Pelodiscus sinensis: one gene and its partners. The protein of the gene in region 1 interacts with the protein of each later gene in a biochemical or structural test. Links are inferred from orthologs where the notes say so. Each region holds a gene or a part of one and is shown in the gene's direction. Other genes may lie near its edges. The genes, in order: ARF5, RAB11FIP3 and ARFIP2.

The links.
Region 2: the proteins of ARF5 (region 1) and RAB11FIP3 form a complex in vitro, tested with the Homo sapiens proteins (2 studies listed by BioGRID). The link is inferred for Pelodiscus sinensis from reciprocal best matches to the Homo sapiens genes ARF5 and RAB11FIP3.
Region 3: the proteins of ARF5 (region 1) and ARFIP2 form a complex in vitro, tested with the Homo sapiens proteins (2 studies listed by BioGRID). The link is inferred for Pelodiscus sinensis from reciprocal best matches to the Homo sapiens genes ARF5 and ARFIP2.

The regions. Positions count from the first base shown.
Region 1 is NC_134711.1:567,052-574,604, reverse strand, and holds the start of ARF5 (ADP-ribosylation factor 5), read left to right. Parts: upstream 1-4,256; 5' UTR 4,257-4,351; coding exon 4,352-4,418; intron 4,419-7,553. Other genes in the region: GCC1 (GRIP and coiled-coil domain-containing protein 1), read right to left, coding at 206-1,252.
Region 2 is NC_134726.1:2,492,067-2,499,581, reverse strand, and holds the start of RAB11FIP3 (rab11 family-interacting protein 3), read left to right. Parts: upstream 1-4,335; 5' UTR 4,336-4,638; coding exon 4,639-5,418; intron 5,419-7,515. UniProt on the Homo sapiens protein: Downstream effector molecule for Rab11 GTPase which is involved in endocytic trafficking, cytokinesis and intracellular ciliogenesis by participating in membrane delivery. Recruited by Rab11 to endosomes where it links Rab11 to dynein motor complex.
Region 3 is NW_027465814.1:176,803-184,965, reverse strand, and holds the start of ARFIP2 (arfaptin-2), read left to right. Parts: upstream 1-4,969; 5' UTR 4,970-4,984; coding exon 4,985-5,224; intron 5,225-8,163. UniProt on the Homo sapiens protein: Plays a role in constitutive metalloproteinase (MMP) secretion from the trans Golgi network. May have important functions during vesicle biogenesis at certain cargo subdomains, which could be predominantly utilized by secreted MMPs, such as MMP7 and MMP2.

The DNA.
Region 1 (7,553 bases):
CTATGCTCCTGAAGCACAGCAGTTTGAATCCTTATTAAGAAGGAATTCCTTCTAATGGAACAGTAGATTTTTCTCTCATTTATGGTCCTATGAAGACGCAGGATTTATGCCAACCCAAACTCACTACAAATCTCTGTACTCACTAATGCTCTCCTCCTATATAATAGGTTGGCTAGTACACCCTGGTGTACCAACAAAGAATTACCTTTTTCATCTCTTGCAGCAGCTGTGCTTGAAAATGACTCTTGAGGCTGGCCATCTCCTCCTGTAGCTCCTGCAGCCTGGGATCTGGCTTGCTGCTCGTTTCCTGCACGGCCTGCAGCTCTCTCTTCAGCTCCTCCACCACCCTGTTCAGCTGCTTTGTCTGCAGTTCAGACTCTTCCACTCGGTCTGCCATGTACACCCTTCCAGCCAGTGCTTCCTTAGTCTCCTCCAACTTTAGCTCCACATCCTGGCGCAAGGTCCTTTCACCTTGCAGCAGCTTCTGCAGCTCCCGCAGCATCACGGCATGGTCACTCTGCTCTTGGGCCCGGTCATGTTGCTGAGTAATAAGACGAGCTTTGGTCTCTGCCAGCTGCTCCTGGACACACTTCATCTCTGCCTCCAACTTGCTCCTCTCTTCCTCAGCCTTTTTACTGGCCTCATCCAGGTCCTGCTTCATCTTTTTCTTGTCTGCTTGGTACGAGGCTTCCATGCGGGATTTCTCCTGGGTGACTGTAGCCAGGGAGCTGGTTAAGGTGGCCAGTTGAGTCTTCAGCTGGAGCACCCTTTTGTCAGTCTCACTAGCCGCGCCTGGCACATCCCCACTGCTCGTGCTGACCCCACTCTCCGACTCGCTCGCCTCCTCCGATTTCAGGGGGGGCCCCCCAGCTCCGGTTCGCTCATCGTCTGTCCCCAGTTCACCCTTGGCACTGGTCATGCTGGCAGCCGTGTCCACACTGGTGGCCGTGCCCGTGCTGTCCTCGCTGTGCGCGGAACTCCGGTCATCCGCACAGTCGGCAAGGGACACGCCGGAGTGGGCAGCGCCCGGGGGCGGGGGGCCACCCAGGCCCGCGTCGGTCTCGTGGGACACGGACAAGACTTTCAAGCTGGCTTCCAAGGCTTCCTTCTCGGCCAGCAGGCTCTTGTAGGCCCGCACCACGTCCCCCAGGCGCGTCTGGTACTGGAGCAGCTGCTTCCGCTGCGCCTCCACGGTCTCCGCGAGCTCCCTGCGGCTGGGGCCGCCCCCGAAGCTCATCCCGAACTTCTCCATGGCGGGGGGGCTCGGGCAGCCCCCGGGGAAGGCGCAGACTCCGGAGTGACTCCGGTTCCGTCACAGCCCCCCCCTCAGCGGGCGGGAAGAGGCCGCCCCCGGGATCGCGCCCCCCTCAGCGGGCGGGCGGGAAGAGGCCGCCCGCTCGGTGTTTCGGCGGGACGGGGAGAGGCCGGCCCCTCCCCCCGCCGCTCCTCACACGTCAGCAAGGCGGCTCCGCTCACCCGGACCTCCCGCCACACGCATGCGTGGAACCCGTCACGCCCGGCCCACCCTCATCACGCCTGCGCGTAAACCGCCGCTCCCCGGCCCGCGAGCCTCGCGCTTGCGCACCCCGCGCCTCTCGCGGCCAACGCGCCTGCGCCCAGGACGTAGGTCACCAACCGACGCTCGCCGCTCTTGAGGTTCCCCGCTAACGGTCGCTACGCGTGCGCGTATGGCGTCATTTCCCCCCCCCCGGGGGCCAACGGTCGCCGCGCATGCGCGCATATCTCAGCGCTCTACCTGCTGGCCCCGCTTCTTTCTCACTGCGCATGTGCCGATTGCAGTAGCCTTTTGACTCTTCTGCCCAGGTCGCAGCGCCCAAGTGCGCAGGTGCGCTCCTCGGGAAGGGGCGGGGCTATGAGATTTGGGGGCGGGGCTCCGAGGCAGTAGCTGCCACGTGGGGAGGGAGGCGCTGCACGGCTGCAGGAGGGGACCGGTTCCCTAGCTAGGGCCGGGGCGGGAGCTGCCTTTGCCCGAGGCCCTGAGCAGGCGATGCGGGGGCCCGGCAGAGGCGTGTTCAGCCCCACGGAGCCGGCCTCCTTCTTCCCGTGGGGGCCCGCCCCCACCCCGCCCCACTATCCTGTTGGGCTGGTTCCTGCTCAGCAGCGAGCCTCTGCCCCGGCCCACGGGCAGGGACGTGTCGCCGGGCCCGCTCAGCGTGGCTCCGTGGAGAAGTCACTTCCTAGCCCTGGGTCGCTCGGGCTCTGCCGGTCCGGCATGCTAGGGGCAAGGTGGGTGAAGCTGCGATGTCTTCCCCGCGGGTGAAAACCAGAAGCCTTTGAGACCCAGAGCACCTTGTTAGGTCCAGCGGAAGTTGGTCCAATAAAGCCTGTTCCCTCACCCACTGTTGTCTCTCGTGGCCGGTGGGGGAAAGCATGGCCCATAGGGAGGTTGCTCCTAGCTAGAACCCCATCTCTGGGATGATTTATGATCAGAGGGGTAGCCCCCGTTAGTCTGTAATGGGAAAAACTTAAGAAAAACCCCAAGGCTGTGTCTACATTGGCGCAATCTTGCGCCAAAGCGGTGGCTTTTGTGCAAAAACTTGCTGCCTGGCTACACTGGCCGCGAGATCTTGCGCAAGAACACTGACGTTCTAATGTGTGAAATCAGGGCTTCTTGCACAAGAACTATGATGCTCTCACTCAGGAATAAGCCCTCTTGTGTAACTGTTCTTGCGCAGAGGCCAGTGTAGATAGGCAACATGAATTTCTTGCCCAGGAAAGCCCTTTGGTTAAAATGGCCATCGGAGCTTTCTTGCGCAAGAGAGCGTCTACACTGGCATGGATGCTCTTGTGCAAAAGCACATCTCTTACGCAAAGGCACATGCCAGTGTAGATGCTCTCGTGCGCAAATACTTTAACGCAAGAACTCTTGCGTTAAAGAGTATTTGTGCAAGATCATGCCAATGTAGACATAGCCTAAGTCTTGCAGCACCTTAAAGACTAACAAAACAAGTGTAGTTTTCATTTAAAAAAGCCCCTTGGAATGCAAAAGGCAGCCCAGGTACACCAGGCAGTCAGCGACAATAGCTCCAGAGGGGTGGACTGTCCCATTCAGATTAATTTCAAGCCCTGCTGCCATTTCCAAGCGGTGTGACCTCACTGCAAGGCCCTGGCACAGGGTGGGATCCAGGAGTATCACCAGCATTGTGCCTAGAGCCCTGGAGCTGCAGGGAGCAGAAGTTTCGGGGTGAGGGAGCAGGACTCCCCCAAAAATGGGGCTCTGGCAGGATTCAAGGGATTGTGGCCCTTTCTAGAGACGGGGTAGTGTAGCTCCTGGGGGCGTGGCTAGCACTTGAAGAGGCGGAGCTCGCGGTGCAAGGGTGGGGCCAATGCTGTAGGAGGCGGGGCTATTGGTAGAGGGCGTGGCTCCTGCGGAGGATCGCGCTGCTGCTAGCGTCCAGGATCCTCGAGGAGGCGGAGCTAGTGCTGCAGGGGCGGGGCTCTTGCAGGAGGCGACTGACGGCGCCTGGCCACGTGCCCATGCTTCTGGGGGCGGGGCCACTGCCACGGGGCGGGGCTCGTTCTACAGGTATCGGAGTGTTGCCGGGTTTGGGGCTCTGCCAAGGGGCGGGACTAAGGCGGACGGGGGCGGGGCTCTTTCAGGAGGCGGGGTTAAGGCTCGGGAGCGGGTTCTGTGGGGGGGGCTCTGTCAGGAGGCGGGATTAAGGCGGGAGGGGGCGGGGCTATGGCTGGGGGGGGCTCGTCTAGGGGGCGGGGCTCTGATGCGAGGGAGCCTATGACAGGGTGGACGGGGCTCTGACGGGGCGGGGCTAAGACTCGGGAGGAGGCTCTGTGGGGGCGGCTCTGCCAGGAGGCGGGGCTACGGCGGGCGGGGCGGGGCTGTGCCAGGGGCGGGGCGGGGCTAAGACTCGGGAGGAGGCTCTGTGGGGGCGGCTCTGCCAGGAGGCGGGGCTACGGCGGGCGGGGCGGGGCTGTGCCAGGGGCGGGGCTAAGACTCGCTAGGGAGCTCTGTGGGGGGGGGAATCTGCCAGGAGGCGGGGCTAAGGCTCGTTGGGGGGCTCTGTGGGGGGGGAATCTGCCAGGAGGCGGGGCTAAGGCTCGGTGGGGGGCTCTGCCGAGGGCGGGGCTAAGGCTCGTTGGGGGGGCTCTGCCGAGGGCAGGGCTACGGCGGGCGGGGGCGGGGCTAAGACTCGCTAGGGAGCTCTGGGGGCGGGGATCTGCCAGGAGGCGGGGCTAAGGCTCGGTGGGGGGGCTCTGCCGAGGGCGGGGCTACAGCGGGCGGGGGCGGGGCCCTGCCAGGGGGCGGGGCCAGGCTGCTCGCAGCGGCGGTGTCGGCAGGCTCGGGGCGCAGCGCGGCTCCCGCTCCCCAGCCATGGGCCTCACGGTCTCCGCCATCTTCTCGCGGATCTTCGGCAAGAAGCAGATGCGGATCCTCATGGGTGAGGCCGCGTCCCCCCCTCCCACCCCCGGGGGGGCCCTACGGGCGGGGGGGGGGACGCAGGGCCGGGGGGGCCCAACGGGCAGGGGGGGGGACGCAGGGCCGGGGGGGCCCTACGGGCCGGGGGGGGACGCAGGGCCGGGGGGGCCCTACGGGCAGGGGGGGGGGGGACGCAGGGCCGGGGGGGCCCAACGGGCAGGGGGGGGGACGCAGGGCCGGGGGGGCCCTACGGGCCGGGGGGGGACGCAGGGCCGGGGGGGCCCAACGGGCAGGGGGGGGGGGATGCAGGGCTCTGGAGAATGGGGAGGGCTGTGTTCCCGGGGGGCAGTGGGGTTGGGTTGCGGGACTGGGGGGGGCAGGGCGATATGGGGAGAGGGGCGGGATGCAGGGCTCTGGAGAATGGGGAGGGCTGTGTTCCCGGGGGGCAGTGGGGTTGGGTTGCGGGACTGGGGGGGGCAGGGCGATATGGGGAGAGGGGCGGGATGCAGGGCGGGGGGATGCAGGGCTCTGGAGAATGGGGAGGGCTGTGTTCCCGGGGGGCAGTGGGGTTGGGTTGCGGGGCTGGGGGGGGCAGGGCGATATGGGGAGAGGGGTGGGATGCAGGGCGGGGGGGTGCAGGGCTCTGGAGAATGGGGAGGGCTGTGTTCCCGGGGGGCAGTGGGGTTGGGTTGCGGGACTGGGGGGGGCAGGGCGATATGGGGGGAGGGGCGGGATGCAGGGTGGGGGGGGATGCAGGGCTCTGGAGAATGGGGAGGGCTGTGTTCCCGGGGGGCAGTGGGGTTGGGTTGCGGGACTGGGGGGGGCAGGGCGATATGGGGAGAGGGGCGGGATGCAGGGCGGGGGGATGCAGGGCTCTGGAGAATGGGGAGGGCTGTGTTCCCGGGGGGCAGTGGGGTTGGGTTGCGGGGCTGGGGGGGGCAGGGCGATATGGGGAGAGGGGTGGGATGCAGGGCGGGGGGGTGCAGGGCTCTGGAGAATGGGGAGGGCTGTGTTCCCGGGGGGCAGTGGGGTTGGGTTGCGGGACTGGGGGGGGCAGGGCGATATGGGGGGAGGGGCGGGATGCAGGGTGGGGGGGGATGCAGGGCTCTGGAGAATGGGGAGGGCTGTGTTCCTGGGGGGCAGTGGGGTTGGGTTGCGGGACTGGGGGGGGCAGGGCGATATGGGGAGAGGGGCGGGATGCAGGGCGGGGGGGTGCAGGGCTCTGGAGAATGGGGAGGGCTGTGTTCCCGGGGGGCAGTGGGGTTGGGTTGCGGGGCTGGGGGGGGCAGGGCGATATGGGGAGAGGGGCGGGATGCAGGGCGGGGGGGTGCAGGGCTCTGGAGAATGGGGAGGGCTGTGTTCCCGGGGGGCAGTGGGGTTGGGTTGCGGGACTGGGGGGGGCAGGGCGATATGGGGGGAGGGGCGGGATGCAGGGTGGGGGGGGATGCAGGGCTCTGGAGAATGGGGAGGGCTGTGTTCCTTGGGGGCAGTGGGGTTGGGTTGCGGGACTGGGGGGGCAGGGCGATATGGGGAGAGGGGTGGGATGCAGGGCGGGGGGGTGCAGGGCTCTGGAGAATGGGGAGGGCTGTGTTCCCGGGGGGCAGTGGGGTTGGGTTGCGGGACTGGGGGGGGCAGGGCGATATGGGGGGAGGGGCGGGATGCAGGGCGGGGGGGTGCAGGGCTCTGGAGAATGGGGAGGGCTGTGTTCCCGGGGGGCAGTGGGGTTGGGTTGCGGGGCTGGGGGGGGCAGGGCGATATGGGGGGAGGGGCGGGATGCAGGGCGGGGGGGTGCAGGGCTCTGGAGAATGGGGAGGGCTGTGTTCCTGGGGGGCAGTGGGGTTGGGTTGCGGGACTGGGGGGGGGCAGGGCGATATGGGGAGAGGGGCGGGATGCAGGGCGGGGGGGTGCAGGGCTCTGGAGAATGGGGAGGGCTGTGTTCCTGGGGGGCAGTGGGGTTGGGTTGCGGGACTGGGGGGGCAGGGCGATATGGGGAGAGGGGTGGGATGCAGGGCGGGGGGGTGCAGGGCTCTGGAGAATGGGGAGGGCTGTGTTCCTGGGGGGCAGTGGGGTTGGGTTGCAGGACTGGGGGGGTGTTAACCCCCCTGTGCGCTCAGTTCCTCCATCCCAAGGTAGGTCAGTACTTTGACGGTGGGAGTGGAGGCGCTGGGCCGTCGGGGCTGGCAGCCTGGAGCAGTGGTGGGGCAGTCGGCTCTACCCTGGCGCTGCCAGCAGCTGCCCTTATCCCAGAGCATCGGGGAGGGCAGCCATTGCCTGGTGGAGACGTGCCCTGCAGAGCTGAGCGGCCCTGCCGAGCCAGAGCACCTGCTCTTCCTGCATTGTCCAGCTGCCTCTTGCCCTCTGCCAGGAGGGGCTGGGCTCACGACTGGCCCGTCCCCCCCCCAGTTTGAGACCCATGCGAGTGAGGGGTCCTGTGCCTCCCCCACCCGTTGGTTTCTGCAGGTTTAGAGAGCACACCTCAAGGAGAGGCCAGTGACTCGCTGGGCAATGAGGATCGTAGGCGCAGGCTCCCTCCATGTCCCCCAGGCATAGGCTCCCTCTGCAGACGGCAACAGGGTTTGAGCTTGTTGTTTGCTGGGTGTGAAGAGCTCTTGGTGACAGAGAGGCCAGAATTGTGTCCCTGAACCAGGGGGGAGGAGGTAGCCGAGCCAACAGCCCTGGCCTAGGAGAGGGGCTTGAACCCGGTAGCCATCAGGCCAGTCTCTCCGAAACGCAGTTCGGATTGGGCACCGGAGCGCCTCCTGACCCCGTGGCAGCTGGACGCTCCAGCCAGCGGATGCTTGCGCTGTGGCGGGGTGCGCGCTCTCGTGCCAGAGATGGGGTCCGAGCCACTCAGCAGGGTCAGCGGGGCCGGTGCCTTCAGCGGGTGCCCCAGGCTAGCGCAATTGACGCCTCGTGGGGAGGGAAGTGCCCCGAGATCCAGGCTGCGCGGGGGACCGAGGCTGGCTGTGGTCCGCTCGGCTCGCCTGGCTTTGACTTGGCGACGGCAGCTCTGGCTCGCTTTGCAGTGCACGGCGTGAGCAGGGGGCTGTTAACCCTGCCAGCTTGGAGCAGGGGGTTTACAGAGCCTGGTGGAGGAGGGGATCTATCCGCCCAGTTGCAGGGCAAATAAGTAAGAATGGCAGATTTGGAGGGGGGT
Region 2 (7,515 bases), on another chromosome or scaffold:
TGTATAATTAAATTGCTATAGTTATATCAGTGTAAACCGCCATGTGAATGCTCTTTGGCCAGGTCTACACTAGCTCTGTAAGGTCGGTTTAAGGTATGCAACTCCAGCTACGGAGACTACATATGCTCCAGTCAGCTTCCCTTACTCCTTGTGACAGAGGAGTACAGATGCTGGCTGAAGCTGACCTCAGCATTCGATTGATGGGTCTATATTAGACCCGCTAAATCAAACACCAGAACGTCGATCTCCGGCATGGTGAGTGAAGACATGCCCCTATTCTGGAGTAAGATTTTGTTTAGTTTAAACTTTTCAAAATAACATGAACAAATTGCAATACCTTGGAATAAGACTGTACAGAAGGGGTTATACCAGTATAATTATAGTGCTTTAAAGTCACAGATTATGCCACTGTGAACTTTGCTGCATAGATAATCCCTTGAATGCACGTATAACTTTACTCATGAGAACTAGCCGGTCCAGAAATGTTACTCATGTACATAAGGGTTTGAGGCCTGTAAACATAACTAATTAAATAAAAATTCAGAGCAAACTAGATATATCTATATTTATTTCTCTCTCTCTCATATAAGCTTAAACTATATTTTTCCCTAATGAAGTAGGATTCCTCACTTTCTCCCCTCTTGTGCACAATTACCCTTCTGTAAAATGGGAGTGTTGTGAAGATTTCACAAGCCTCTCTCCATTTATCACTGAAGGCATTGGGAGGCTCCCACTCTGCCCTGACATTTCATGAATGGGCATGTCAAACGTGAAGTGGTGTTCTTGCCTATCCCGAGGCCATGAATGCATAGAATACATTAATGCTATTTTTCAATTCATGCTCGTCTTAAATTTGATTCTTGATGTAATTATTGATACTAAATAATTAATACTTGGCTAGGATGAACCAGTTGTATTGACAAAGTACGTGGTTTTTTTAGTTGTGCTGGCATGATGCCCAGTTGTTTAATGATGATGGAGTGTCTGATGAATGTTCATGTTTGAGGTCTCAGCTCAGTCCAATGTGATTATTGCAAACATGGGCTCCTGGGACCGATAAAATGTCCCTGACTGTTGCAGGCTGACAGCCTTGTTTTGTACTGTTTGGTTTTGCATGTACAGTGTTAATATGCCTTGCTTCAAAGAGGTTAGCAGCAACATGTCAGTTCTGCTCCTACCTTATTTTGTCAGGGGCTGATGTTGCTGCATTGCTGGGATCAATCCAACATGCTTTCAAGTTTGACTTTAGCGTGTTTTTGGATTGTGTTTACCAACCACCGTAGGAGCGTGTACCTTGTGTTTTAGCTGATCATAAAAATATAGCTTGAGATGACCATACAAACAAGAGGCCCAGGCTACGGCACATGAGTTTTAAGAACATATTTGGAATACTAGACATGCAGTAATGGATTTCAAGATTGGGAATCTTCTCCTAGCATTTGAAGCTGCAAACTGCTCTAAGAAAGTGCATACAGTACCGATCAAGTTGCCTAAGGTGGTGATGTGTTGTCCGTGTCTTGCCCATGTCTCATGGCTGCCTGGGAGACATTTAGCGTTGTGTGTTTTGATGCTTTTATCATTCCAGAGGTGCTGTGACAGCATTCTAACGCCAGGGCTGGCCTTGGCTTTGAGGTGTAACATCATCATCAGCTGCGGCATGCCATGAGAATTCCTTTGTACGTGCAATCTAAAATGAAGATTATAAACATAACACCCCCGCAATAACATTTTTTTAGGTGACAAATCTGAGGACCTGTTCCAGATTGAAGGGTCATTAGAGGAGGTTTCAGAACAAATTGATAAATTAAACAGTAAAAGTCACCAGGACTAGATGGCACTCACCGAAGAGTTCTGAAAGAACTCTAATGTGACATTGCGGAACGACTAACAGTGGGTTGTAACTTATCTTTTAAATTTGCTCCTGTACCAAATGACTGGAAGATAGCCAATGTGACACCAATATTTAAAAAGGGCTCTAGAGGTGATCCTGGCAATTACAGGCCAGTAGGTCTAACTTCAATAGCAGGCACATTGGTTGAAACTGTACCAAAGAACAGAATTATTAGACACAAAGAGGGACATAATGTGTGTGTGTGGGGGGGGGAGTCTACATGGCTCCTGTAAAGGAAAATCCTCCTCACCGATCTACTAGAATTATTTGAGGGGGGGGTCAACAAAAGCATGTGGACAAGAAGGATCCAGTGGATATCATGTACTTGGATTTCCAGAAAGGTCCCTCACTAAAGGCTCTTAAAGTGAGCTGCCATGGGATAAGAGGGAAGGTCCCCTCATGGATTGGTCACTGGTTAAAAGAGAGGAAATGGAGTAGGATTAAATGGTTGGTTTTCAGAATGGAGAGAGATAACCAGTGGTGTCCCCCAAGGAGCCACTCTGGAACCAATCTTATTCAACACACTCATAAATTATCCGGAGAAAGGGGTCAATAGTGAGGTGGCAAATGATACAAAGATAGTCAAGTCCAAAGCAAACGGTGAAGAGCCTCAAAATGATCTCTCAAAACTAGGTGACTGAGCAACAAAATGGCAGATGAATTTGAATGTGGATAAATGCAAAGCAATGCATATTGGAAACCAATCCCAACTAGACACATAAAATGAAGACTAAGTTAGCTGTTACCACTCAAGAGAAATCTTGGAGTCATTGTGGATTGTTGTCTGAAAACATCCACTCAGTGTCCAGCGGCAGTTAGAAAACCAAACAATGTTAGGAATCATTACAAAAGGGACAGTGAATAAGACAGAATATCTTATTGCCTCTGTATAAATCCATGGTACACCCATATCTGGAGTACTGTGTGCAGATGTGGTCACCTCATCTCTCAAAAGATTCCTTGGCATTGGAAAAAAGTTCAGAAAAGGGCGACAAAAATTATTAAGGGTATGGAACAGCTGCCATATGAGGAGAGATTAATAAAACTGTGACTTTTCTGCTTGGAAAAGAGATGACTAAGGGGATATAATAGAAGTCTAGAAAATCATGACTGATACGGAAAATGTGCCTAGAGTTAGTTACTCTTTCCTATTACACAAGTACTAGGGGTTAGCAAATGAAATTAATAGGCAGCAGGTTTAAAAGAAAACAAAAGGAAATATCTTTTCCCCACAAAACAACCTGTGGAACTCCTTGTTGGAGGATGTTGTGAAGGCCAACACTATAACAGGGTACAAAAGAGAGCGAGAGAAATTCAAGGATTGGTCCAGCAATGGCTATTTGCCAGGATGGATAGGAATGGTATCGCTAGCCTCAGTTTGTCAGAAGCTGGGAATGGGCGACGGGAGGATTCCCTGTTCTCTTCATTCCCTCTGGGGGACTTAGCATTGGCCAGCGGTGGCAGACAGGACGCAGGGCAGGATGGGCCTTTGCTCTGACCCCCATAGGGCCTGGTGGTTCTTAGGTGAGACACATACAAATACGTACTAGTTTGTTTGGCCCCACAACCCCACCCCACCCTGCAGACGCTAGTTACTGGGCGAAGAGCCCCACCACACAAGAGCCCCTGCAGTCCAGCTGTAGGCTCTGGGCGATGGTCTCACCCTTTCCATCGAGGACCCCCCCCCCCCCTCATGGAGGCGGGATGCAGACGGAAGCTCTCTCCTCCCCTCCCTCCCCATCGCAGCCTGAGAAGCGGGGCGGGGGTCCCGCACGGACCTGTCAGGAATCTGTTCAAGCCCATGGGGGGGGGGGGGGGGCGGAGGAGCAGAGAGCAGGCGTGGGCTGAATAAATCCGTCAGCGCACCCCTTGCACCTGATCCCTGCCTGCCCCGCGCAACCTGCACGCTACTGGCGTCCCCACGCGCGCAACCTGGCAGCGCCGACGCGCCACCAGCCCCCAGGTGTTGCGCAGCGCATCTTTGCGCGGCTGTACCGAGCGCAGCGCAGGCGGCGGCTGCTCCCGGGCGCTGGAGTCCGCTGGCGGCGGGGAGCGATTGGGGGGGAGAGGAGGGGGGCGGAGTGACATCACTGCTACTGCGGTAGGGCTGGAGCTGGGGGTGTCGCGGCCCCGCCCACCTCCCTCCTTCCCAGGCTTGGGAGAAGTCACCCAAAAGAGACAGCAAGGGGAGGGGCGTGTGCACGGAGCTCCCCGCCCCCACTGTCGCGGGGGGGGAGGGAGCACACACAGAGCCCCCCCCCCCAGTGCCCGGCGTGGCACAGATACACACAGAGTCCCCCCAGTGCCCGGGGGGGGCGCACACATACTGAGCCTCCCGCCCCCAGTGCGGGGGGGGGCACAGACAGAGCCCCCGCCCCCGCCGCAGTCCCGCCCCGTGGCCGGCGCGGGCGGAGCCAGGGCCCGCAGACACAAAGCGCTGCCCGGCTGCAGCAGGGAGCCGCGCCGCCCAGCAGAGCCTGCAGCCCGGAGCCGGAGCGCAGCGCCTCGCCTCCCGTGCGCGCGTGCGGGGCCCCGAGGTGCGGGCGTGCCGGGGCTTGGCCTGCCCGGGCCCCGCAGACGATGGATGCGGGCGGGCGGCAGCGGCGCGGCCCCGGCTCGCAGGGGCGGCTCCGGCGAGCAGCAGCAATGCGGCGCTTCTGCGCGGGGCTGCCCGGGCCCGCCGAGCCCCGGCGCCGGGCGAGCCAGGGGCACTGAGCGGCCTGCGCCCGCCTGACTGGCGGCTGAAAATGGAGCCGGCTTTGCTGCGCGCTCGGGCGCAGGAGCTCCCCGGGGAGCGGGGGGCGCAGCTGCCCGGCCCGGCCCTGGGGCTGGTCCCCAGCGAGGCGAGCGGACCAGCGCCCCCGGGGCAGCGCTGGGGAGAGATGCCGCCCCCTAGGCTGGGCTTGGCCGGCCCCCGCGAGGATTTATACCGCCCGGGAGAGCCGGCGAGCGGCGTCTGGCCCGCGGGCGCTGCGGACCCAATCAGCGGCGCGGCCCGCGGTGCAGGTGCGGCTGATAATGCGCGGGGCAGCCCCCGGCGGGCGTTGGCTTTGCCCGGGTTTGCGGGGCCGGGCGAGCAGCGACTCTCTCCCGGGCTGGACCGGGCTGGCTCGCCGCCCCGCGGCGCTGGGCTGGGGCCGGGGAGCTTTCCTGGAGGCGGCGGGTTCTATTTCGCCATGGAGCCCTCCCCGCCGCGGAGCCGCTCGGAGGGACCCGCTCCAGCGTCCCCTTGGACTACAGAGCCCGAGGACCATGGATCCCAGAGCCGCCCGGAGCTTCCCTTAAGTCCCCGGGGCTTCTCGCCGGCCGGCCAGGAGATGGACCTTCTCCCCTCCTTCCATTGCCCCGGCGACCTGAGCCAGCCCCCCGACTCCGGCCAGCCTGCGCCCAGAGCGAGCGACTCCCCCGGCTGCGAAGAAGACGAGCCCCGTCTCCGAGCCGTGTTCGATGCCCTGGACCGAGACGGGGATGGCTTCGTGCGGATAGAGGAGTTCGTGCAGTTCGCTACAGTCTATGGAGCAGAACAGGTAAGAGTCCGCGTGTCGCTCGGGCCGGGTACCTGGCAGGGGTGGTGCCAGCTGAGGGCCGCTCGGCTCTGTCCTGCAGGCACGTGTCTCTTTTGTGTGTCTCCTCGCCATGGGCATTTTCCGGCGGTGCCTGGGTCGGCGCGCCAGGCGTCTGCTGGGACCTTGTCTGCTGGCCTGAGCTGGGCAAAACTCGCCTGCTCTTCGAGCTGTAAGGTGGGGGCGAGGCCAGCGGAGCCTCCTACAGCGCTAGGGCTCGTAGCACGAGCTGTTGTGTGGCGGGGCAGGCGCTGTTCTCATTTCATGCGAATTGTAGCGACCATGAGGTCAGATGGGGTCCCCTGGTTTGAAAACGTGTCTCTCGTTTGCCTCTCACTTCCTGTGTGGTCTGGTCATTTCTCTGTCTTCATGGGGGATGGAACAAACCAAAGCTGACAACTCCGGCTCCTTCTGTCTGCTAGCTGTGGGCTTGGCGGTCCTTCCGACTCTGCCTCTGTTCTCGGTAGCTTGGCTTCTCAGCCTGATGTTAAACCGCTGTTATTGAGGTGACTTGTCATGTACCCGGCACCTCTTCACTTGCTGAATGGCTGAGTGAGAACTTATTCAGGAGCTGGGCTGCCAGCTGTAGTGAAGGCGATTGGCTGATGCTTTCATTTCGGAACCCTGCCATTGCATTTTAGGCAGCATAAGCAAAGAAGTTGAACAGCTTCAGATCCTTCATGCAAGTATTTAGGTAAAGAGGGTGGACAGTGGGGCTTTGATAAGTTGGCCTGTTCCCGGGTTCCTTTATACCTCAGAGCAGTGGCAATTGTAGATTGCACGTAGAGCCTCCCAGGCATCTTGAATAAAACATGACACTTCACAGGCATACTTGAGATGTAAGTCAGTCCTTCTTGAAGCGACACCTCCATCTGCACAGACTTGCTGGTGTGTAATAATTAGGATTTGGGGACTCCTACATGTCCTTTCAAGTGAAGGACATCTGCTAATCTGAAAAAATGTGACTGGCACAGAAAGATGACCCGTAGGGGTTTTGAAAGCTTGCTTGTTAGAAATGTTGGACCTTTTGAAGCACTGCTTTGTAAACCAATCGAAATAAGCTACAGGTGGAGCAGATGTTTGCTAATAAAGGTGTTGCAAACCCAACATAAACCATTCATTGTTTGTGGACACTGGATATATAATTTGCTCATCATGCTAAATATAACAGTAAGTATTATAGAATCAAAGAACAATGGAACTGGAAGGGGCCTGGAAGTCATCAAGTCCAGGCCCCTGCTCTCATGGCAGGACCAAGCACCGTCTAGAAGAGGTCATCCCTGATAGATGTCTGTCAACCTGCTCTTAAGTATCTCCAATGAGGGAGATTCCACAACTTCCCTAGGCAACTTATTCCAGTGTTAACCATCCTGTCAGGAAGTTTTTCCTAATGTCCAACCTAACCCCCCCCTTGCTACAATTTAAACCCATTGCTGCTTGTCCTGTCGTCAGAGGCCAAGGAGAACAAATTTTTCTCACTCCTCATAGCTCGTGTTCTCTAGACCTTTCATCATTTTTGCTGCCCTTCTCTGGACCTTCTCCAGTTTCTCCACAGCTTTCCTGAAATGCGGTGCCCAGAACTGGACACAATACTCCAACTGAGGCCTAATCAGCACAGAGGGGAAGAACGACTTCTCGTGTCTTGCTCACAGTACTCCTGTGAATGCATCCCAGAATCATGTTTGCTTTTTTTGCAACAGTGTCACGCTGTTGACTCATATTTAGCTTGTGGTCCATTATAACCCCTAGATCCCTTTCTGCAGGACTCCTTCCTAGACAGTCACCTCCCAGTCCGTATGTATGAAACGGATTGTTCCCTCCTAAGTGGAGCACTTTTGCATTTGTTCTTGTTAAACTTCATCCCGTTTGCCTCACACCATTTCTCCAGTTTTTCCAGATCATTCTGAATTGCAATCCCTCCCATCTTCAAATGAATAATCATACTCTCTGTGGCATCATCTAAATAATTGCTGAAGATATTGAACAGAACCGGTCCCAAAACAGACCCCTGCGGAACCCCACTTCTTGTGTGCTTCCAGCATGCCTGTGAACCATTAATAA
Region 3 (8,163 bases), on another chromosome or scaffold:
ACATGACCTATGAAGCCAGGCTTCATGAACTGGGCTTGTTTAGTTTGGAAAAAAGAAGATTAAGGGGGGACATGATAGCGGTTTTCAAATATCTAAAAGGGTGTCACAAGGAGGAAGGAGAAAATTTGTTCCTCTTGGTTTCTGAGGACAGGACAAGGAGTAATGGGCTTAAAGTGCAGCAGGGGAGGTTTAGATTGGACATTAGGAAAAAATTCCTAACTGTCAGGGTGGTCAAATATTGGAATAAATTGCCAAGGGAGGTGGTGGAATCTCCCTCTCTGGAGATATTTAAGAACAGGTTAGATAGACATCTGTCAGGGATAGTGTAGACGGAGCTTGATCCTGCCTTGAGGGCGGGGGGCTGGACTCGATGACCTCTCGAGGTCCCTTCCAGTCCTATTATTCTATGATTCTATGATTCTTTTTTTGTGTTTTTCCTATTTATATGGCTATAAAACCTTTTACTATTGGTTTTAATTCCCTTTGCAAGGTCCAACTCTACCTGACTTTTAGTCTTTCTCACTTTGTCCCTACATGCTCTAACCTCAATAAGGCAGCTTTCTTTACTGATCCCTCCCATCTTGCACTCCTTAATGCTTTCTGCTTTTTCTTAATCACCTCCCTGAGATGCTTGCTCACCCAGCTTGGTCTAACACACCTGCCTATACATTTTTTCCCTTTTCTTGGGATACAGGCTTCTGACAGCTTCTGCAACTTTAACTTAAAATAATTCCAGGCCTCTTCCACCCCAAAATCCATAATTTCTTTAGTCCAAACAACTTCCCTAACGAATTTCCTTAATTTACTAAAGTTAGCCCTTTTGAAATAAAAAACCCTCGTCTCAGATTTATTTTTGTTTATCCTTCCATTTAATTTGAACTGAATTAGCTCATGATCACTCGAGCCAAGGTTGTCCCCTACAACCATTTCATCTCTGAGGTCCTCACTACTCACCAAATCTAAAATAGCACCCCCCCCCCCTTGTTGGTTCAGCAACTACTTGATGAAGGAATTCATCAGCTCTTGTCCCTGGGGCTGTGCCAGTTAGCACAGTCACTGCCTGGACAGTCCTGGCCCACTGCTCTGTCCCCGGCAGAACCCTCCAGAGTGAGCACAGAGCGCGTATCCGTAGCGCCGCATGCCGATATCCCACGTACGGAGCGCGGAGCGCGTATCTGTAGCGCCACACACAGATATCCCACGTACGGGAGCGCAGAGCACGTATCCGTAGCGCCACACACAGATATCCCACGTACGGGAGCACGGAGCGCGTATCTGTAGCGCCGCACGCCGATATCCCACGTACGGGAGTGCGGAGGCGCATATCCGTAGCGCCACACACAGATATCCCACGTACGGGAGCACAGAGCACGTATCCGTAGCGCCACACACAGATATCCCACGTACGGGAGCGCGGAGCGCGTATCCGTAGCGCCGCACACAGATATCCCACGTACGGGAGCGCGGAGCGCGTATCCATAGCGCCGCACGCCGATATCCCACATACGGGAGCGTGGAGCGCGTATCCGTAGCGCCGCACGCCGATATCCCACGTACAGGAGCGCGGAGCACGTATCCGTAGCGCCACACACAGATATCCCACGTACGGGAGCGCGGAGCGCGTATCCATAGCGCCGCACGCCGATATCCCACGTACGGGAGCGCGTATCCGTAGCGCCGCACACCCGATATCCCACGTACGGGAGCGCGGAGCGCGTATCCGTATCGCCGCACGCCCATATCCCACGTACGGGAGCGTGGAGCGCGTATCCGTAGTGCCGCACGCCGATATCCCACGTACGGGAGCGCGGAGCACGTATCCGTAGCACCACACACAGATATCCCACGTACGGGAGCGCGGAGCGCGTATCCATAGCGCCGCATGCCGATATCCCACGTACGGGAGCGCGGAGTACGTATCCGTAGCGCCGCATGCCGATATCCCACGTACGGGAGCGCGGAGCGCGTATCCGTAGCGCCGCACGCCGATATCCCACGTACAGGAGCGCGGAGCGCGTATCCGTAGCGCCGCACGCCGATATCCCACGTACGGGAGCGCGGAGCGCGTATCCGTAGCGCCGCATGCCGATATCCCACGTACGGGAGCGCGGAGCACGTATCCGTAGCGCCGCACGCCGATATCCCACGTACAGGAGCGCGGAGCGCGTATCCGTAGCGCCGCACACAGATATCCCACGTACGGGAGCGCGGAGCGCGTATCCGTAGCGCCGCACACAGATATCCCACGTACGGGAGCGCGGAGCGCGTATCCGTAGCGCCGCACGCCGATATCCCACGTACGGGAGCGCGTATCCGTAGCGCCGCACGCCGATATCCCACGTACAGGAGCGCGGAGCGCGTATCCGTAGCGCCGCACGCCGATATCCCACGTACGGGAGCAGCACACACACAATCAGTAGGACATAAGCTTTCATATGACACCTCATGTGGCCCCCTTTGTATAGACTTTTGGGGCAAACACCCCCCTGTGGGCGCAGCCGTGACTTGTCTGAACCCCTTTAAAATCCAGTAACGTGACACACGGCCCTCCACGTCCTTAGCCGCAGCTCAATCTCCAGGCATCACAGCTGTGCCGAGGAGATCCTGCCTGGGACGAACTGCTGCTGGCGGAGCGTGGCCTGGCGGGCCCCACATGCCTGTCAGGCAGTTCCTTGCCCCTTCTCCTGTCTCAGAGCCTGAAACTCCCCAGGGGTGTCTGGCTGCTCCCTGCTGGGACAGGATCCAGCCCCCTGGAAGGATCATTCTCTTCCAGCCGGCAATCAGCTGGGACTTGGTCAGTTCCCCCACGGGCAGGCCCCCCTCCTTGCACAGCCCCAAGGCGCCTGCCTTCAGGAGTCGGGTGTAGGCCATCTCCCTCCATTCCCCGGGTGCAGACACACCGGCCAATGCTGCAGCACCCCACGATCCCAGGAAGAACCCTTCCTGGGCCCCCCTTCCCCGCAGAGTTAGACCGCCCTCTCCTGGGATCACTTCCCACAGTCCACAGGGGAACCTCTTCTGGGGGGGGGGCACCCCCTTCTCCGTGGCCCCACTTGGGTTAAGCTGCTTTCCTCTCCACTTCCTGGAACTGCGTCCCATGGCCTCCAGTGCCTGGCTCTTGCAAGCCCCCTTCCTTCTCCTGTGCCCAGTGACTTCCTGGCAGATGCTCCGTCCACGGGGTACAGTCCATCCCACCACTGTCCTCTAGTGTGGGGGAGTCCCCAGCCCTGCACCCCGATGCGCAGCAGGTAGAACACAGGAGTTACACATTGACACAGACACAGCGTAGCCTGGACTTGTTACAGGAGCCAGGAACGTTCAGTACAGCCCAGCCTGGGGAGACTGGGCCCTGTTCCCCCTTCCTGCTCAATACCCCCCTCTCGTCCTGAAAACCAGCCAAGACTGACCCATACCCCAGACCCTAGTCCCCAGCCTGGTGTCAGCCCTGCCCCCCTTTGTTCCCTTCCCGGGCCCAGGGTGTTATCTACTGTTCCCCTGGCCCTCAGGACCTCCCCAGTGAGTCCTGCCCAGCTTCCCCGTCTTCATCCAGACAGTGCACTGTGCCCAGGGAAACTGAGGCACGCACACACACCTGGAGTCCTTACAGAACAGCAGACTCACATACAGCACCGCAAGGCCAACAGAATATGGCCCAAATACAGTCCCACTATGTCACTGTGTCACTGAGGGTATGTCTAGACTCCGTCCCTGTCGCCAGAGGGGTGTGAATTAGACTGACATTGCTAATGGCGCGGGGATTTCAATAGCCCGCGCTTCATTAGAATAAAAATGGCCGACATGGCAATTTGCCGGTAAAAAGTGGCAGTCTAGACGTGGGTCGGTCGACAAGGAAAGCCTTTTCTGACCGATCCCTTATGCCTCGTGCAACGACGTTTGCTGGATCGGTCGGAAACAGCTTTCCTTGCTGACCAATTCCTGTCTAGACTGCTGCTTTTTGCCGGCAATGTGCGGGAGATTGGAATCCCTGCGTCATTAGCAATGTTGGTCTGTCTAATTCACACCCCTCTGGCGACAGAGGGATGGAGTCTAGACATGCCCTGAGCATGGTGTATACATCCCAATGCCGGCGGGAGGGAGATTGAGGCATTTGGTTGGCTACATGGCATGGAAAGGGACAAAAGGGGAGACTGTGTCATGCTCTGTGGTTAGCATGTGGAACTCCTTGCCACAGGATGTCACTGAGAGAAGAGGGTAAATCCTGATGTGGGGCATGGGGAGAGGAAGATTAGGGCAGCTGGTTGGTCACACAGCACAGGGACCGGGGGATGCTCCGTGGCATGGAAAGGGAAGACTGCCATGGTTCGTGGTTAGCCTGTGGAACTCCCCACCACGTGATGTCACTGAGGCCTTAGCAAGACTTTGAGTGGCCTGGCCACTCTGGGGGGGCGGGACTAGCCAGAGGGATAGGAGGGCCGAGCAGTTTGGGCAGGAATATGAAGCCTGCTCATCTCTGAGTATCGGTGTCCCAGATGAGTCCCTCCTGGGGGCAGGTTCCCCCGCTGCTGCCTTAGCAGCACATGGTGCTAGGCCCGAGTCTGGGCCTTGCGCCGCCACCAGAGCAGCACAGGACACAGCCAAGGCAAGGCCCCATTGCCGGGAGCAGGATGGAGATGGCTGGCTTAGCCCTGCCGGGCCCTGGGAGTCTGCTGCAGGCCGGGGCCTTCCTGCCGCTGCCCTGCTGTGGGGTGGGGTGGGGTGGAGGCACTGAGGGGGCCTTGCAGGGCATAGGCAAAGTGCCACTGTTCCAGCCGGTGGGGGGCACTGTGGCCTGGCGGCCGTCACCCCTCAGAGGCACTTCCCCTGCCACCCCTCTTCTGCTGGGCCGGCGGGCACGGCCAGAGTGCCAGCAACAGCCACTCTGCAAGCCAGGGCGCTGGTGGGGACCGGGAGGCGGCTGTGCCCAAGCGTGCTGCTCCCTGGATCCCCTGCCTCCGGGAGCGGGGGATATTGGCACAGCAGCACCATGCGGCTGGCGACAGTCCCCCAAGGGCTGGTGGGGTGGCACTGTAGGGCGCCCAGACCTGCAGCGAAGAGGCCTGGGAGGAGACGCTGCCCGACCTGCCAGCCCCGTGCTCTGTGTGTTCCAGGCTCCGGGCTGCACCAGCCCCAGCCCAGCCCCACGGCAGCGGGGGACGAGGCCGCTCGGGGTCTTGCTGTGGAGAAGTTTGATATTGTCAAGAAATGGGGCATCAACACATACAAGGTGAGTTTCCACCTCGGTCAGGCGGGGGGAGACGGGGGCACGGGGGGCTCTCTCAAAGGAGTGGGGGCGGAGGGGGGCTCTCTCAAAGGAGCGGGGGGCAGAGGGGGCTCTCTCAAAGGAGCGGGGGGCAGAGGGGGCTCTCCCGAAGGAGCGGGGGGCCGGAGGGGGCTCTCCCGAAGGAGCGGGGGGCCGGAGGGGGCTCTCCCGAAGGAGCGGGGGGGCCGGAGGGGGCTCTCCCGAAGGAGCGGGGGGCCGGGGGGCAGAGGGACTGTCACATGGGGGGGCTGTCCCGGTCACGTTAGCGGAGTATAAGGGAAGCAGCCAGGTCACTGCTGCGCCCATGGGGGGGGGTGGGGGGTTTGCCCCAAAAGTTGGTCCGAAGGGGCCCTGTGAGGTGTCGAACAAAAGCTACTTTCTACTGAGTCTGTGGGGCAAACCTTTGCCGGGGGGCGTGGGGGGCAGCAGGCCCCGTGCTGCCGGGCTGGGAGGGCCCCACTGGGCATGCTCCCAGCAGAGCCGTATATAAAGGCGGGGAGCCCGGCAAGGGGCCCAGGCTGCCGCCCCGGTGTCCCTGCAGCAGCTGAAGCCAGAGCCAGAGCGGCAGGAAGCAGCCCGGGGCCAGGGCTTGCCGGATTCCCCACCCAGCAGGCAGGAGCGTGAACCCTGCCTGCTGGGACCCGGTGGAGGGGGGCCCCGGGTGCCCCGCCCCCCCTTTCCGCGGCAAACACGCCGGCCAGGGGGGGCTTTTTCCGGAGCTAGGCCCCAGAGACCATATATACCCTGCTAGGGGGGCCTGGACTTGGGGCTAGTTCTGGGAATACCATATTTGCCCTGAGAGAGGGGCCGAGACTTTTGGGACTTTGGGTACTGTATATGCCCTGAGAGAAGGGCCTGGACCGACACACGGGCCAGTAGAGGGGGGCTGCAGCCCCCGGGGGGCCTACCCCTTGACAGATGGGACTTGGTCCTGCTGTGCAGGCAGGGGACTGGACTCAGTGACCTTCAAGGCCCCTTCCAGTTCTAGGAGACAGGCATCTCCAGTCATTTAAAAAAAACCATTGTGTCTGCTCGTCATAGATCGGTTCCTGTCCGTGTGGAGTTAGGAATATGGACTCTGTGTGGAGACGGGACGTTTCTCTGCATGTGCTTGAGCAATGGGCTCAACCTATGGACATGCTAATTAGCAAGGCTCCAGGGACAACGGGCCTCCTAAGTACCAGAGACCCACCTGGGAAGGAATCCAGGTGCCTGGCCAGAGACCATGTGACTATCTCCAGCTTGGAAGAGACCAGGAAGGGAGATAAAGATGCCACAGTGGCCAGGTCTGGGCACAGCTGAGGGCGTCCGCTCAGGGCAAATTGCTCAACTTCGAGGCTCCTTACAGCCCCAGACTGGAGACCTTCCCAAACAGGCCACACACCAGTCCCCCAGAGCACTCCAGCTGCCTGCCTGAAGCCTCCCGAGCAAAACCCCTCCCACACCCCAGCAATATCCGTGCCCCAGATGGCCCCGGGCCTCATACACAGGTGAGGGGTCCTAGCACCCAATCCCACCTACCCCGAACAAGTTCTGTCCGGTTCCAAGAAACCAGCCACAGATCCCTGGTCAATTTCCCCTCCGGACCTTACCCACAAATCACGCTGGGCCAATCCTTTAGCATCTAACATCTAAAGGTTTATCAGTGAGGGTACGTCTAGACAACAGGGTTTTGTCGACAGAAGTTTTGTTGACAGATACTGTCGACAAAGCTTCTGTCGACAAAGAGCGTCTAGACACATCCAGTTCTGTCGACAACGCAAGCTGCTTTGTCAACATAACAGTGTGGACGCAAAGGACAGTGTAGATGCAGTAGCGCCTTCTGGCGACAAAAGGCGTTATTCCTTGTAAAATGAGGTTTACCAGCGTCGACAACACTGCTGAGTTCTGTCGACGTTATGTCAACAGAACTCAGCGCTAGTGTAGACGCAGGTTTAGTTTTGTCGACAAAACCCTGTAGTCTAGACACCCCCTAAGAGAAAGGAAGCGTGAGAGTGAGGTTGTTAAAGGATCGTACGTTACATGCAGTGAATCTCCCAGTTCTCGAGGCAGGCTCTAGCAGAGATGTTACAGCTGCTGGCTTAGAAGTCCTTGGTGTATATCCTGTATCCAGATGGGCCCACAGTTCTTCCCGGCTCGTGATTCCCTGTGAGGCCGCATCTGGGGTCAGGAGCAGATCTGAGGACCAAGATGGAGTCGGCCACATGACATCTTTATCTCCCCCCCGCCCGGCTTCTTCCAAGCTGGAGACAGTCACATGGTCTCTGGCCAGGCACCTGGATTCCTTCCCAGGTGGGTCTCTGGTACTTAGGAGGCCCCTTGTCCCTGGAGCCTTGCTAATTAGCATGTCCATAGGCTGAGCCCATTGCTCAAGCACATGCAGAGAAACGTCCCGTCTCCACACAGAGTCCATATTCCTAACTCCACACGGACAGGAACCGATCTATGAAGAGCAGACACAGACTCAGAAGAAAGTAGCTTTTGTTTGACACCTCACAGGGCCCCTTTGTACCCACTTTTGGGGCAAACACCCCCCAGGGGTGCAGCAGTGACCTGGCTGCTTCCCTTAAACTCCAGTAACGTGACAGTCCCAAACGAGTGGTGGGAATGGGGGCAGATGGGGCTGTCGCATGGGGCAGCGGGGTGGGGGGCTGTCCCAAGGGGCAGGGGAGGTGGAGGGAGGCTGTCCCAAGGGGCAGCGGGGGGGGCTGTCTCAAGGGACGGGGGGGCTGTCCCAAGGAGCGACGGGATGGGGGGCTGTCCTGTGGGGCGGCGGGGGGGTCTGTCTCAAGGGACGGGGGGGGGTTGTCCCAAGGAGCGACGGGATGGGGGGGCTGTCCCGTGAGGCGGCGGGATGGGGGGGCTGTCCCAAGAGGCGGGGGGGCAGAGGGGGCTGTCCCGTG